Canis lupus familiaris: one gene and its partners. The protein of the gene in region 3 purifies or fractionates together with the protein of the main gene of each other region. This does not show direct contact. Links are inferred from orthologs where the notes say so. Each region holds a gene or a part of one and is shown on either strand. Other genes may lie near its edges.

Region 1 (4,602 bases), on a different chromosome or scaffold from region 3:
TGGAGATTCAGGGAAGCCCAGAAGCCCCGTACTCAAATCAATGTTTTACGGGGGCAGGATCTGTGCCGCCCAGCAGTTTTCCCCTCGAGCGCACATCCAGATTGTGTTTGCACACTGGGGAGAATGAGGAGCTCTTTCCTGTAGGTATCTAGGGCTTCATCTGTACACAGGATCCCAGGGTACCCACGCCCGTGACGAAGGCGTGGGTACCCTCCCAGCTGCCAAGCTCGGCGGCTAGGGAGGGGGACCCAGCCACGCCTTCTCCGGTGAAGTCCCTGACTCACCTACCCCCGCCAGACTCTCACAAGCCAGTGCCGCCTCCGCCTCCTTTAGAGGTTTGGTCGTGCTTCGCCCTGCGATCCAATCACTTGTGGGTGCGACTGAGGACTCGCCGAGGCTCCTCCCACGTCAGTTCAGGGAGGCTTGCGGCTGAATAGCCACTCCTCACTCCCCCAGGAGGTCCCTGGACGTCCTAGGGACCAATCCCGCTGCTCCTCAGAGGCGGCGTTTACTAGCGCGCCCAATCGTGTTCCACTTGCGGCCAGGCCACGCCCCCTACACGCGGGGCAAAGCGGACCCTCGGACCTGGCGCAGGCGCCTTGCAACTGCCAGGCGAGGGTCGCTCTAAGCCCACTGGGAGGCGCTGCAGGAGGACGCCCAGATGGGTGGAGGCAAAGCAGGCAGGGGTCTCTGGAGCCTAATCCCGTCCTCTGGCTCCTGCCCTCCCCCCCGCAGGTCCAGGGGCTGGGTCCGAGACTGCACCCAGGGCATCGCGTCCACCCCTTCTATGATTCGCGTCACCCAGCACCCACATGTGTGGTACTTTGGCCCGACGGCCCAGGCAAGGGCAGCTTGGAGTAGCAGCGACGACAGCAGCAGCAGGGGCCTGTGGGATCGAAAGCGGGATGGGCTGTGGCAGCTGGAACCCGGCCTCCAGGACTTGATTGGGGTCAGGCGCTGCTCCACTCCAACCAAGCTTCGGAGCCAGGAGCTAGCTTACCCCTTGAAACCAGGTGTCTGGCGACAGGTGCCACACCCAGCTCTGGAAGCTAGGCTTCTGGACTCGGAACTCTTAGAAATTTAGAGTTGGGGCCCAGAGCTCTTAGAAACCAAGGGTCAGGCTCCTCTGTCACCTCTACTGCTTCAGCCACCTAACTCCCTAGAAGCCAGGTGTGTTGATCCGGAGTCCCCAGTGCTTTAAGCTAAACTCTTATGTCAAAGGCTATGCCTTTTTCTGGGCTCTGCCCTGCAGCCTCTCCCCCTGCTTCTTCTCATAACTGGCTCCTCCTCATTTAACAGCCCACTGAAATGTCACCCTTTCTGAGACAGGACTTTCCCTGTTCACTGTATCTGGAGTAACAGCCTCCATTACTCAACGGTGCCTCGTGGCCTCAGGAAGGCCGATGGATGCCCACACACACCTCACCTATGTCCCAGCCTACCAGGCCCAGCTTCACTGCTTTGGGGTTAGGTACTCACAGTAATCCTTCCCCAAGGACAATACTGAGCCAGATGTGGGTGTTAGCCCCTCCCTGCCCACCTGTTCCTAAGGGAGAGTAGAAGGGCAGTGCTAGCCTGCTGTGGTCACAGCACCTGAACAGTCTGATCTGAGTCTTCCTCGGATGGGCCTGGCCCCAAAGATGGCCACGGAAAGAGGAGGCCGCCTACGTAGAGGCCCTGGGCCAGCTCTTCTAGGAACATACATGCACGGGGCAGTCTCCAAGCTCATTTTTCTGTTTGTCTTTTTTTACTTTCTTACAAAACCATGTGTCCCAGCCAAACAGGACGCTGCAGGCCTTCCCCCAGGCATTGTGGCCTGAGTGGAGAAGCCCCCATGAATGAGTGGCTGCCAACCCCAGAAGAACTGTCTGCCCCTCTGCACAGGGCCAGTGTGAGGAAGGGGGTCCAGTTGGAGGCTCTGTCCTGCCCTCCCCCCTCAGCTGCTGGGAGAGAAGGCGGACCCGGGTCCCCGGTGTTCTTAGAGCCTGTAAGGGAAGGAGGGAGAAGAGGGTCTGAGGGGAGGAGGAAAGGCAGGGGCCCAGGACGAGGCAGGCCAGGGGGCAGGCCCACAATAGCTCACCAAGAATGTGCAATGCTCTCAAACCAATGTGGCGATACCAATGATGACTGCCAGAATGACGACAGTGACAGACACACAAATGGCGATCAAGACTTTCTTCTGTGGGAGAGTTCAGGGAAACAAACTCAGAAGGGGAGGGAAGGCAACCAGGGCCTCAGACTAGAGGGGAGGGAAGGGGTGTCAAGGCTCACCTTCCGAGCCTTCTTCTGGTTCTCCAGGGCAATCTTGACATGTTCCTGCCCGCGTTCCACATAGTCTGCTGAGCTCAGGATGTTCTTCTCAATCCGGTTGATCATCTCCCCCTGCTCAGAGGAGGGGGACAGTTCAGGCAGGTAGGGATGACTGGGGGTGGAGAGCCCATCAGCTCCTCTGCTTGCTCACACTAGCTGCCTAAAGGACATTTTCTGGCAGGAAATGCAGCACTAACAAAGGTGTGGGGGTAGGACCACATCTGACCAAAGTGCACACTCCTGAGGGTGGCTTCCAGGATCCCTTTTATTATGTAGTCCCTTCTGCCCTGCTCCCTTACCCCCTACAACCTTCATTTGCAGTGGTGGCTTGGAGCCAAGCGCCTTAAGAAGCTCATACCTTGTCACAGAGGGTGAACTTCTGTCTCTTTGTAAATCTGTCTGAATTTGCTCATTCTTCTAGGCTTGCCTCTCAACAGCTGTGAAGCCCTCCCCAACCCTGCCTCCTCATGGCACTGCCAGCCTTCAGGTCCTGGTACTCCTACTGAATGAAATGCCTTCCCCATGAATCCCAGCTGCACAAGGGCATTGGCTGCAGCACTAGAGGCCGGCAGCTTACCTCACCTCACACAACGGGGGCAGCAGAAGAACACCACCTCCCACCCCAACCTCATTCAGATCTGTGGAGGCATGCCCCCTAAGGAGCATCTTTGAGTAGAACTCTTAGAGGTATAAGGGTGGATTCTATTGGTGGAGGAGGAGCCAGAGTTGGGCTACATCCTGGGTAGCTCAACTGGGAGACAGGGTAAGATGGTGAGTGTAGAGGAGTGGCCATCTGTGTAATGTGGAGGTGGAAGCAATTCTGGGGCTCAGCTACAGATGGGAGTGAGGGCCAGCCTGGGGGCATGGCCCAGCCTGGAGGGGGATGAAAGCCTCGGGGAGAGAGGCTAGAGAGTGGAGATGGACTGACAGACACAGTGGGGTTTCTGACTGAACACGGTCTCACATCAAGCCCAGCCAGCTGTCTTGCCCACCTGCATCTCCACTTCTGTAGCCAGGAAAGTGAAAATCTCATGAAGTTCACGGATGCTGCGTTCAAGCTGCTGTATCTCACTGTGCCGGGCTGAGATCTCATTTAGGGCCTGTCGAGTCACCTGCGTGTCCTTCAGGATCTGGGGAGCAGATAGGAATGGCCAGACAGGTCACAGGGAATCCAGCAGCAGATCAGAAGTTCCTGTTGAGCTTTCAGGCAGCCCTCAGGCTTAGAACTGGGGCCAGGACCTTGATGAGCGACCCTAGGCATGCTAAGTCATTCCCTTCCAGGCCTCTGTATTCCCTCAATCAAAGGGGACCAGGCCTCAGCGAAGATGAGAGTCCCAGAAGAGGGAGGCTAGCCATGACCACTCACATTGGATACAAACACCTCGCTTTGCCCACTGTCCAGCATCTGCTCCAGCTCCTCATCAGACACCATTCCAGCATTTGCTGTGAAGGAAAAGGTCAGGCTCAGAGCTGGGTCAGGTTACCTGACCCTGTAGGCCAGACACCACAACTCACTGATCTTCAGCTGCCTCCGAATCCGCTCCACATTCTTCTCCCGGTACTCGGACTGCATCAAGTTGCACTTGTTGATGAGCTCCACGAATTGCTGGGACAGGACCCCATGCTGATGATAGAAAATATAGGCTGGGCACCCCGGAAGGATTTGGCCTTAACATCCCCATAAGTATAGGGAGCAAACAGCATAAGCTGTTCTAGGAGCCTGCTGCCTTGACCACCATTCTCTCAAGGTCAAAGCCAAAGCCTTTACTAGGGCTTATAAGGCCCTATTGGACCTTCCCTTCCCCATTTCCCCTCTGACTTTATGTCCTCCAGCTGTTGCCTCACTCGCACCCTCTGACCACAGTGGACTCCTTCCTCCCCCCACCAAAGCCACCCCTACTTCAGGCTTTGGCATTCACTGCTCTTTGGGCCTAGAATACTCATGCCTCACAGAGACATACATACATACATTTATTTATTTATTTATTTATTTATTTATTTATTCACAGAGGCCTTTAAATCTTTATTCCAATGTCACCTTCTGAATGAAGTTTTCTCTACCTTATTAAAACTGCAACCTGCCTTCTCCCGTCACTCTCAATCCTCTTCTCCTCAGTTTTTCCCTTAATACTTAACTACCGTCTGGGCAGCCCGGGTGGCTCAGTGGTTTGGCGCCGCCTTTGGCCCAGGGTGTGATCCTGGGGACCTGGGATCGAGTCCCATGTTGGGCTCCCTGCATGGAGCCTGCTTCTCCCTCTGCCTGTGTTTCTGCCTTTCTCTCTCTGTCTCTTA
Region 2 (5,227 bases), on a different chromosome or scaffold from region 3:
AAGGGAATAATTTGTATAAATTTCCCATAAATATCCGTAAAAGTTAATAAATACACAAAAAAAGCAGAAAGCCAGATAAGGAAACTATATGCTTGTCAGTGTTCTCTTAATGTTGTCTAATTGCTGGGAGAAAAGGGTGCTAAATGATTCTGGAAACTTCCTTTTTAGCTTTTCTTTATATTTGTTTATGGATTGATAAGTAGTGCTCCCTCCACCCCCCTACCATTAATAACCTTTACAGCAGCTTGCCTAAAATGTTTACTTGTTTACTAGTTTGGTGAGGCCTTGTTCAGAAACAGTATTTATTTAAACTAAACACAGTTTAGTTTAAAGATTAAATTTTTTAGGAAATGTTTCTGAAATTCTTCACCTCTGTTACTCTATGAAGGGTAAGACGGTACAGGGAAATTAAACTCTGCGATATATACCTTGACAACCCAGAGGTATAAAATAGCTACCATTTCTCAATGGTAATGTAAAATAAAAACAGACAAATCTCCCAAATTTGAAGAGTACATTTCCCCTGCCCTGAGTCAGCTAACGAAGTCTTTTTCAAGAACTCAAACCTCCTGAACTCAAGCAGCTGTTCATGAATCTTTAAGAGTTCACAGGTGTTTCATATTTCCAAAGTTGTTGAAACAGGGAAGATACAACATGGAAGATATTTATCAAACATAAATTTATATCAAGATTAACCACTTTTCCAACCAGCTTAGAAGTGGACTTTTCCCTTTCTTTGTCCTCCCCCCCAAAAAAAGAAATGAACGTCATGGAACCATACATGAAAGATGTTTCCATCATCCCTTACTTTTCTAGATCGCGTTAACAGTTTTCAAAGTGCCTTCACGTGCCGTCTTGTTTATTCCTCACAACACCCCTGTGAGGTAGGTACAGCAGGTATTAGTCTCCTCATTTCAAGATGAGGAAATTGAGGCAAAGAGAGGTTAAGTGACTTGCCCAAGATCACACAGCTGAAAAGTGGCAGAGCCGGGACCAGAAATCAAATTTTCTGACTCCTTGGCCAGTACTCTTTCCACTCTGACTACTGCCCCCAATTATGAATAATGTACTGTGTATCAAAATTGAAAGGTTACTGAAGTTCATTTCAGTGATGTCTTAACAGTAAAGTTAAACGAGAACTACAAGAACAGTAGGTCTGATGATTTTACTTGAAATAATAAAACTGGTGCAAAACCACTTTTACCTAATTACTTATAACCTTTTGGTCCAAATACATAAAATATGCAATATTTACAGCATTTTCCTTTCTTTTTTTTTGTAAATGCAATGCTTTAAAACACATTATAAAGCACCTTAGTAAAAATAGTCTACAAGTAAAAGTACAGAAGTAGGGAAATCCTACCCATACCACAGCTCACTAATGAGTCATAATATGGAGTCAAATATGTCAGTTTGCCGCTCTACAAATAACCCATGGAGGAACGTACTAAACTTACTTTTTTGATATTAATGTGTGGAAGCCTTAACTAAAATTCCAGAAAGTGTCAACATTCTTTGAAGTGTCTTCCCAGTCTTAGAGACAGGGGAGACAGGAATGAGAAATACTGCTCTCTTTTAAAATTGGTTTTTAACACTAATGATCAGGTTTGGTTTTTTTTTTTTTAAGAATATTCAAACAACCTACATAAATATGGGCAATTCCAACTATAGCAGAAACATTCTTAGCAAACAGTATCAAACATTCCAATAAATTTCATGAGACATGATTCACAGAAACAAAGCACACACTGCCAAACAGTTAGTAACACTATTCAGTAGAGGTGTATAACCCAAACCTCCAGGTGAAGGTGGAAGGAGCAAATGGATTCATCTTCATTCATGGTTAGGTGAAAAAAACAAAAAGCTTTATCAAAAAGAGAATACCAGAACTTTTTTTGAAATTGTATTTAGCCTCCAATGAGACCTGCTATGTGTTTATTTTTGGTGATGTGTAGGCTTTTTCCAGGCAGGAAATTATAACTCCCACCAAAATTTAACTGGGGGGTGGGGGGAGAAAAAGGAAAAAAGAAAGAAAGAAAAAAAGAAAAAAAAAAGGCAGAAACTTAAACCTCTTAGGCCACTGAAACTTACCAGCCAGTATCCACTTCCTCCGTGTTACTGCCCCCTAACGTGGCTCAATACACATGGTCTTATACACCGATCCCCAACCCAACTTGTGGAGCTGAGTACTAAGGTGAAGACAGGGTCAAGGTTTTAGTTCAAGAACCTAACAGTCACACCTGGCACTCAGTTCGATTTCGGGTAAATCTTTTCATAGAAAAAGTTTTGTGCGAGGATGTAGAGGTCTCCGTCTTTTTCCCGTACAGCGTGGGCTCTGATGAACTGGAACTGCTCTAGCGCAAATTCATAGAACTCATTCTCCATTTTCCAAATGTCAGATTGCTGTAGTTTCGCAATGGTTTGTTTAGTTGGGAGTTTCTTCTCTGTGGTTTTCCTAAGATGAGATTTCTTTCCTACTTACAAAGGAAAAAAAGAAAAGGTGAATAATTCTGAGAACACCCAAAAGAGCGATGCTTCTTTATGTGGAGAGATGGATTGAGTTGATGTGGCACACTGAAGGCCATTAACAACTGTTTTTGCATTAATATCATTCAGGCAAAACTGGTACCCTAATCATACTAGAAATATCATTTAAAAAAAAAAAAGATTTATTTATTTTGAGAGAGAGTAAGTGAGCATGGGGGGGGAGGGTGCAGTGGGAGAGAATCTTTCAAGTAGGCTCCCTGCTGAGTGAGGAGCCCAACTTGTGGCTCAAGTCCCAGGACCCATGAGATCATGACCTGAGCCAAAACCAAGAGTCAAACACTCAACCGACTGAGCCACCCAAGCACCCCTAAAACTGTGATTTATTCTTTTATAGTGTAAATCCTTAACCTGTTAAAGACTTAATGAGGGATGTCTGGGTGGCTCAGTGGTTGAGTGTGTCTGTGTTTGGCTCAGGTCATGATCCCGGGGTCCTGGGATCGAGTCCCACATTGGGCTCCCTGCAAGAAGCCTGCTTCTTTCTCTGCCTATGTCTCTGCGTCTCTCTCTGTGTCTCTCATGAATAAATAAATACAATCTTAAAAAAAAAAAAAAAAAAAAAAAAAACAATGAGATGTCAAATACTAAAAGTAAGGATTACCACTCAGTAAAGCGCAGGCTGTCGCCTTTCATGCTATACTGTTCTAATCTCAAATACTTGGTGCTCTGACTAGTTTAATTTTTCAATATGATAGAATCTCTACTTTCAAACTTAATACTAATTTACCATAACCTGTTAGAAGGTAGGGCATATGCATACTCTAGGAAGAGTTACTATATTGTACCTTACCAAAGAACGGGGGAAAAATCCACATTAGATTGGATTAGAGCCCTGTCACTTCCAGATATGTCATACAGTCGAGGCTGCTGAAGCACATTTCACCAGGACAGACACAGCACATGCTGATCATCATGGGTGGGACTCAGTCTCACCATCCCATCCTTACTCTAAACAGCATTAGGCAGGACTCAGGTGCAATATGGTCATAATGTTTGGTGTCTGGCATTAGCTAATATTACACATTTCTAACTAAGGCTGGTTCTGCAGATCATATCTTTCCACTATCCCTACAATGCCTTCTAACTATCATGTTTATTTGCTCAAAAAATATTTAATGAACACCAGCTGTGTGCCAGGCACTGTTCTGTATTGAAAATGGTTAAGAAGAAACAGGCAATATACATTCCTTTATGCAGTTATTTCTTGTGCTTTGAGTTACTCAAGAAACATCAAATCCCACATATTTTTCAGGTTCCAAACAAACAAAGTTAAAGACAGCTTTAACAAGAAACCTATCCTTTATATACCTGTACGGTAGAGTTCTGTAGCACCCCTGAAGAACCGGGGCAAAGCAGCCTCCAGCAACATGATAAAATCTTCAAGTTCTTCAGTAACTCCCACCAGAAAGTATTCATTAATTAGGTTATACTTGGCTTGATCCATAGCCCACCTGCTTCCCACATTCCTAAAACCAAAGAAAAGGAATTAAAAACCTAGCTGTGAAATCTAAGTATTTTTGATGCCTCTGACACTATATACTATGGAGAAAATAAGCACATGTCCATCCAAAATCTTAATGCCCTTTTATTAATGTCTTTGGTGGGAGGGGAGTTGAAGGTCCTTCCCAGTTCTATGAATCTATGAAACATACTAAAGAAGTTCAATTAAAATCACCTCACTAACGTCCAAAAGAGCAGTACCCTTTTATTGCTCTAAGGCGGGGATTGGCAAACTTTTTCTTGTTAAGTGCCAGAGAGTAAATATCTTAGGTTTTGCAGGCCATATGTTCTTGGTTACAAATATTTAACATTGCTCTTGCAGCATGAATACAGTCATAGACAAGAAGTAAATAAATGGAGATGGCTGTGTTCCAATAAAACTTTATTTATAAAAAACAGGTGATTGGCCAAATTTGGTCTCCAGGTTGTAATTTGCCAATCCCTGTTCTAAGGAAATGATTAAAAATTGAGATGTTCTTCCTATGATTCCAATTCTTTTTATGCTGTTATTATGATCTGATATAGTCTACTGAGTAGGACCTTACAGTTCACAATGATCTAATAACATGTTTCATATAACGAGGAAAAGAAGGCATTCCTTGCATTTCTCATCATGGTTTTAAGGAAGAAATACTAACTTTGAATGTGTTCCTCTTTCTGCTTTTCCTATTAAAATGATTAGAACAAATAAATATATATAAACATGTACTATTTTTTAAAAACTGAAAACTCTGCACATTCAGAGGAAATAAACTCTTCATTAAAGATAAAATTTATTTTCCACCTCACGTTTATTAGCAGACTAAACCATAACCTTGGCTTTTCTCAAGGTAAAAAAATCAGTTAACAGTAAAACCAGGTGAATAATGTACTCACTAAGCCTTTTCTTGATCTAAAATGAGTGGCTAAAACAATAAGCTTAGGAGAAAATGAGGTTTATGAAATGACCCCTGGCCTCTAATTAAGAGCTCTGCTGGAATATAGCAAAACATGGTAATACCAAAAACAATAAATTAAAAACCAGCATCTGTGAAAAGACTGCAAGGATATGATGTATGAAGAATCTTTTCTATGCACTTAAAGGTAACTATAAAACTAGAGATTTAATTACATGCTATTTTTAATCCGGTCTTTCACTAAATGCCCTATATCTAGCCCTTGACTAGTACGTTCACACTTGCGA
Region 3 (5,227 bases):
ACCTTGGGGTAACCTTGGGAATGTGGGCCATGGACAAAGCCATTAGATGGAAGAACTGGATTCCTCATCCACCAAAGCAATATGCTGGACCAACCACCTAGAGATGCTGACTTAAGAGGACTAAACTTTTAACTTGTGGAAGCCAGTGTTATTTTTGGGTTTCCACCCTACCTGACAAGAAACTACCTGACACAACCTTCTCAGCAGGTTTCCATGTAGTGCTGTAGCTCTACACTCACTACATCTATTACAAATCCACAGGACTCTGGATAAGAAAGCCAGAGGTAGCATAAGTTGAAGGCCAGAGGGAACCAGCCAAACTGTCAGATAACATTTCTATTCCAGACCAAGACACCAACTCAGTCACAGGTTCATGGAGGTGTTTACAGCCAGTCTTGGAGAGAGTATCATAAAATCACAATCCAAAGTGCTCAGAACTGCCACCAAAGCCATGCAGGCTGAAGCTCCTCCATGCTGTGTGGTTTGGTTGGGAAATACTCTATTATTTCAGAGAGACAAGCAATTTCACGCAAGACTACATGGCCGTGGTTGGAAACACAAATCTATGGCTGAGGGGTTAAAAAAAAAAAAAACGAGAGAAAGCAGTTTATAGGCTTTAATAAAATGAAAGAGCAAGCTATGCTCCAGACTTGCAGCATTCTACCTCGGAGGCAGTGCTCCTGGGGCTGAAGGCAGTACAGTTCATCTCACCAGGACACAAAGTATGAGGACAACCAATGACAGTAAATACCATTGGCTAACATAAACAATATCTTCATAAAAACAATAAAATTCAATCTTGATCGACAACTAAGAAACAAGACATGCCATTTATATTTAATTCCTGATCTATAAACAGCCACCAGCAAGACAGTCACCCCAGGTTTTCAAAATCTAATGTTATTTCCAAGCTTATTTTGAACTGGCTTTACTCTACCCTGAGATAATGAGCATCAATAAATTTGGCATAAATATGACCCAGGAATGCTTAGGAATGCTACATTAAAAATCTTCTTTTCTCAGGGGCACCTGGCTGGCTCAGTCAGTAGAGCATGCAACTCTTGATGTTGGGGTCACGAGTTCAAGCCCCACTCTATTGGGCATAGAGTTTACTTAAAAAAAAATTAAAAGCCCTCATTTCCCTGTAATAGTTTAGTCTCCAAAAGGCAGGCTCTTTTTATTTGAACTGTTAACCACATAATATTTCATGCATTCAACAGCTTCCTGCTTGTGTTCTAGTAGTGAACTAGTCACACATCAATGCCTGCCCAATGACCAAGTTCACGTGTGACCAGTGGGATCCCCAGTGTGGGACCTTGTTTCTCAGTCTCCTTTGCGGCTAGATATGGCCACCTACTGGATTTTCACCAGTGGGATGTTGGCAGAAGGGAAAGGCATCTTCTGGATCTGCCCTTGAAAGGACTGGGCACACTCTTTCCCATACCCTCTTTTCCTCTCCGGGAGGGCTGGATCTTGCCCACGCCCACAGCCCAGCTCTGACCATGCAGAAGAGGACACCATCTTAGGGCAGGATGGAGCAACCAGGTGGACGGTCAGGGTCCCTGAAAGCCTGTGTGCAGCCATGCTGGCCAGTCAACTTGGTCTGCTCATGTCAAGACATCGTTTTAAAATCACTGCATTTCAGGAGGGTCTCCTTATCAGAGCTGTTTAACCTTTGGTCATAATCAAAATAGAACCATAGACAAAAATCTCACTCCCCCTTCTCCATCCTAAGACCCTAAGATTCCCCTGAAAAATTACAAAAGATCAAAAAGATACATTTTAATTGTTTGGCTCTTGTTTCCTAGATAATCTCAGCTTGTTGACGAGGCTTCACTGGAGGTCCTAAAACAGCACAGGTCCAAGGGCTGGCCTGTCACCTGCCTCCAATCCCAAGAGTCTTGAGTCAGAGAACATAAGGGAAATTGGGCTGCTGGTTTTCAGGGCTGATGTACCCCAAGTCGAAGGTAGGAGAAAGAAACTATTACAATCACATTCTGATACTTCACTAATTGTGAAAACCTTTAATAAAAGCCTGTGATAAAAGTTCCATGTATTTCTTCTTCCCTCTATGTTACTAATAGGAAGGCATTTCAAAATCAAGTGATATCACCATAGTTTTGCAGACATAATCTTTTCTGAATATAAAATTCAGAGGTGGGTCATGAAACAATTATGAGGAAAAACAGATTAGTGAGTCTGACAATGATCTTCAACTACATACAGTTTTGGAATTAGAATGAAGATTCTGTTTTCCTGAATATCTTCCTTTATCATACAATGTTCTGTCGAGTTCAGGGAAATTAAACTTAACACAAATTTCAAACCAAAAAAACACCCTCACCACCCTCACCTATTTTACCACAAAAGAATTCAAATTCAAATTTTATTTTTTAAAAAGGCACGTACTATTCTGGCCAATTACAGGCCCCCAATACAGGTGTATGTCATTAAGTACCAAATACGCATCAGCTGTTATAGGCCGAGAGGAAGAAAAAACAACTCACTTGTTCAAGCAGAGATTACTGGATGAGTTCTGGAAATCCTCCTCTGTGAGTTGCCAGTTTTTAATTGATCCTTTCACAAATCCTGACACCATAATGAAGCCCAAGACCAGAACATTGACACAAGTAAATATTTTGTTGACCATGGCCGATTCTTTCACACCGAGAGTTAAAAGTCCTGAAAAAGCACACAAACAGGAAAATTTTGCCTGAGAGTGTGAACTTTGTGCCAGGTAAGTCCTTCCTGGGACAGGGACAGGGATCCCAGGAGAGGGTGACTTAGGAAGAATCCAAGTGGCACCAAACCTCCTAAGATTTCTGTGAGCCTCTGGGAATGGGACTGAATTAATACTCTTTCTAGCCCGGATCAAAATAACTGAAGTTCAGGCGGTAGTTCACAAAGCTACCAACGTTGGCCTTGCAGGTCCCTCTGGAGTTCAGGGTGCCACCCAGGGGGCACCAAAGGACAGCAGAGATGGGGGATACCACTGCCAACCACCCGGAGGGCAAGCCCCTCCCAAGGACAGAGAGGAGGCCCCTCCTAGCACCCTCTCCTCCTCATTAACATACTTTCCTGGACTCCTCTGAGGAGGCAGGAATTTTTTTCTCCAAAAAGGAGACATTTTACTCAGTTTCTTGACAGAATGAGGGTTTTTCAGATGAGAAAATTATTCAGATTCACTCTGCAATGTTTATGGTATTAGCAACAACAACTTCCTGTGATTATGGAAGAACCACGAACCGTGTGGTTCATCTCGGACTTGGCGCACTTAAAACAATGTCTAAGTTAGACTAGTTATAGATCATAAACTCACATGAAAAAAATCAAAAAGACCCAAGTGATAAAAACACATGGAAGCCACATGACAACACTGTCACTGAGGCTTAGCCACATGACCACAATGGGATAAACATGCCATTTGGGGACATGTGTGGCCAAACCCCAGGCTGGGGAGGAAAAGAGGCTTGGACTCCAGGTGACAGGTAGACTACCACTTATGACTTAAGACTGCTGCCCTGCCAGGTACACCTTTCATACACTCAAAATAAAAAAAAATGCATTTCACAATAGAGTCAATTCTGAAATGAAGGCACAAGAAGGGAATTGAGCAATTTATCACAGGGATCACCTCATCATGCTGTGCTCGGGTTTCTCTCTGGCATCCCTCCCTCTCATGTTTATGAAAATCTCACTGGTGCAAACTTCATTTCTGATACACGTTCCTGCCAACTGGACCAGAAATACTGCTGAGACTGGCCTGTGCTAGATGATTTCAATTACGGTGCGGAAAATAAGGCATATTGTTTTTAAAACCCATCCAAGATCTTCTAATCTCAAAGGGGAATTTATCTGTGTTCAGCTTAATGCTTATACAGTAAGTGCCACATGGAACAAAACACACAACCTTGAGGCTGAGACCCAGAAAAACATCACTAGGAAATAGCTGCCTTCAGCCGTGTTTAAGCAATATCTGGAATTTTAAAAGTCTGTGCCCACGACTGTCATGAAACTTACTTCTTTTTAAAGAAGCATTTTGATGGCTATTAGATGTAAAATCATTCAAGACTTCTCCAACCCCCAGGCACAAACTGGTGCCATGGACTGACTTCATCCCCCACCTCTTACCCGCTGAGGAATGCCACTTTCTTTTCCAGACAGTCTTCCACTGAGTCAAGGGAATTCGTATTCCTGGGTCACTTGTACAAAAAGCCTGCAGTATTAGCAAATTCCCACTCCACAAAAAGCTACACAAGTACCTGAGACTCTTTCTTAAATAACTGGCACACGGCTTTGACAGCTAACCAACGCGCCAACGCTGTGTGTATGAGAAGCCGTTAAGACAAACAAGATGTCTGCATTCGTTACAGAAAGAAAGAAAAGGAGGGGAAAGCAGAACAAGGAAAGGAAGAAACAGGCCTCATGGAAACCTGTCCCACACACCTCAGGCCTCTCACTCCAACTGGATGTGTCCCACTGTGTAGCTTTACCTGTTAAGATGAGAATGATGATCACAGCAAATATGTCTGGGTTTTCGGCCAGCACTCCAGGGGCATTCAGAGCCATGTGCGTCCGCGAGAACTCCGCAATGGGTTTGCCAATCAGCTCATCAAATGTCGCACTCCAGGCTCTTGCTACACTTGAAGTACCTGCCACGAGACAGACGCACCAGAGGAAACTGAAGGGAAACCATGAACAGTATTTGGTAGTGAGTGTGCGAGGGTCATGGATGATGCACTGGGGCATGGTGGACTCTGGTGTGTGCTAGCTCAGAAGTGATGCTCCATTAGGTCCTTCAGGGTGGTGACAAGGATGCGGAGGTCTCATGGACCCAGACAGAAACACACTTTCCATCATGACCCAATAAGGACACGTGTACTGTGTTCCAAATATACAACTGAATAGTAAACAGTTTACAAAACAGTGCCATTACCCTTGTCACCTGAGAAGTACTCTGATGGTATTTATTCAACTCCACCTATTTTATTTCGTTATTAAAAGAAATGTTGGCGGCAAACCACGAAGTTGATATTGTAATCTGCTCACGGCTGCAGTCGGCAGATTGAAACACCTGGCTCAGGAAGCTTCTTTTCCAAGATCCCTCCGACCGACAACAGAGCTGATGGTCCCCACCCACCAGAGGAACACTGTTCTTCGAGTAAGATGAGACCAAGGAGATTCACACGTGTAACCCTCACCTCAGCAACAAAGTCACCTGCTCATC

The links. Proteins that work in one complex are often made in the same cells at the same time.
Region 1: the proteins of SLC7A1 (region 3) and STX4 purify together in Homo sapiens (co-immunoprecipitation; 3 studies listed by BioGRID and IntAct, counting the BioPlex papers as one, with this or other methods). This does not show direct contact. The link is inferred for Canis lupus familiaris from reciprocal best matches to the Homo sapiens genes SLC7A1 and STX4.
Region 2: the proteins of SLC7A1 (region 3) and HS2ST1 purify together in Homo sapiens (co-immunoprecipitation; 3 studies listed by BioGRID and IntAct, counting the BioPlex papers as one, with this or other methods). This does not show direct contact. The link is inferred for Canis lupus familiaris from reciprocal best matches to the Homo sapiens genes SLC7A1 and HS2ST1.

What each region holds. Positions count from the first base shown.
Region 1 is NC_049227.1:17,344,786-17,349,387, forward strand, and holds the end of STX4 (syntaxin-4), read right to left. Parts: intron 3,935-4,602; coding exon 3,826-3,934; intron 3,754-3,825; coding exon 3,677-3,753; intron 3,441-3,676; coding exon 3,303-3,440; intron 2,383-3,302; coding exon 2,272-2,382; intron 2,180-2,271; coding exon 2,099-2,179; 3' UTR 2,081-2,098; intron 1,986-2,080; 3' UTR 1,726-1,985; downstream 1-1,725. UniProt on the Homo sapiens protein: Plasma membrane t-SNARE that mediates docking of transport vesicles. Necessary for the translocation of SLC2A4 from intracellular vesicles to the plasma membrane.
Region 2 is NC_049227.1:61,661,926-61,667,152, forward strand, and holds part of HS2ST1 (heparan sulfate 2-O-sulfotransferase 1), read right to left. Parts: intron 4,011-5,227; coding exon 3,853-4,010; intron 2,478-3,852; coding exon 2,248-2,477; 3' UTR 1-2,247. UniProt on the Homo sapiens protein: Catalyzes the transfer of a sulfo group from 3'-phospho-5'-adenylyl sulfate (PAPS) to the 2-OH position of iduronic acid (IdoA) or glucuronic acid (GlcA) within the heparan sulfate (HS) chain and participates in HS biosynthesis.
Region 3 is NC_049246.1:10,397,810-10,403,036, reverse strand, and holds part of SLC7A1 (high affinity cationic amino acid transporter 1), read right to left. Parts: intron 4,653-5,227; coding exon 4,494-4,652; intron 2,683-4,493; coding exon 2,508-2,682; intron 1-2,507. UniProt on the Homo sapiens protein: High-affinity, low capacity permease involved in the transport of the cationic amino acids (arginine, lysine and ornithine) in non-hepatic tissues.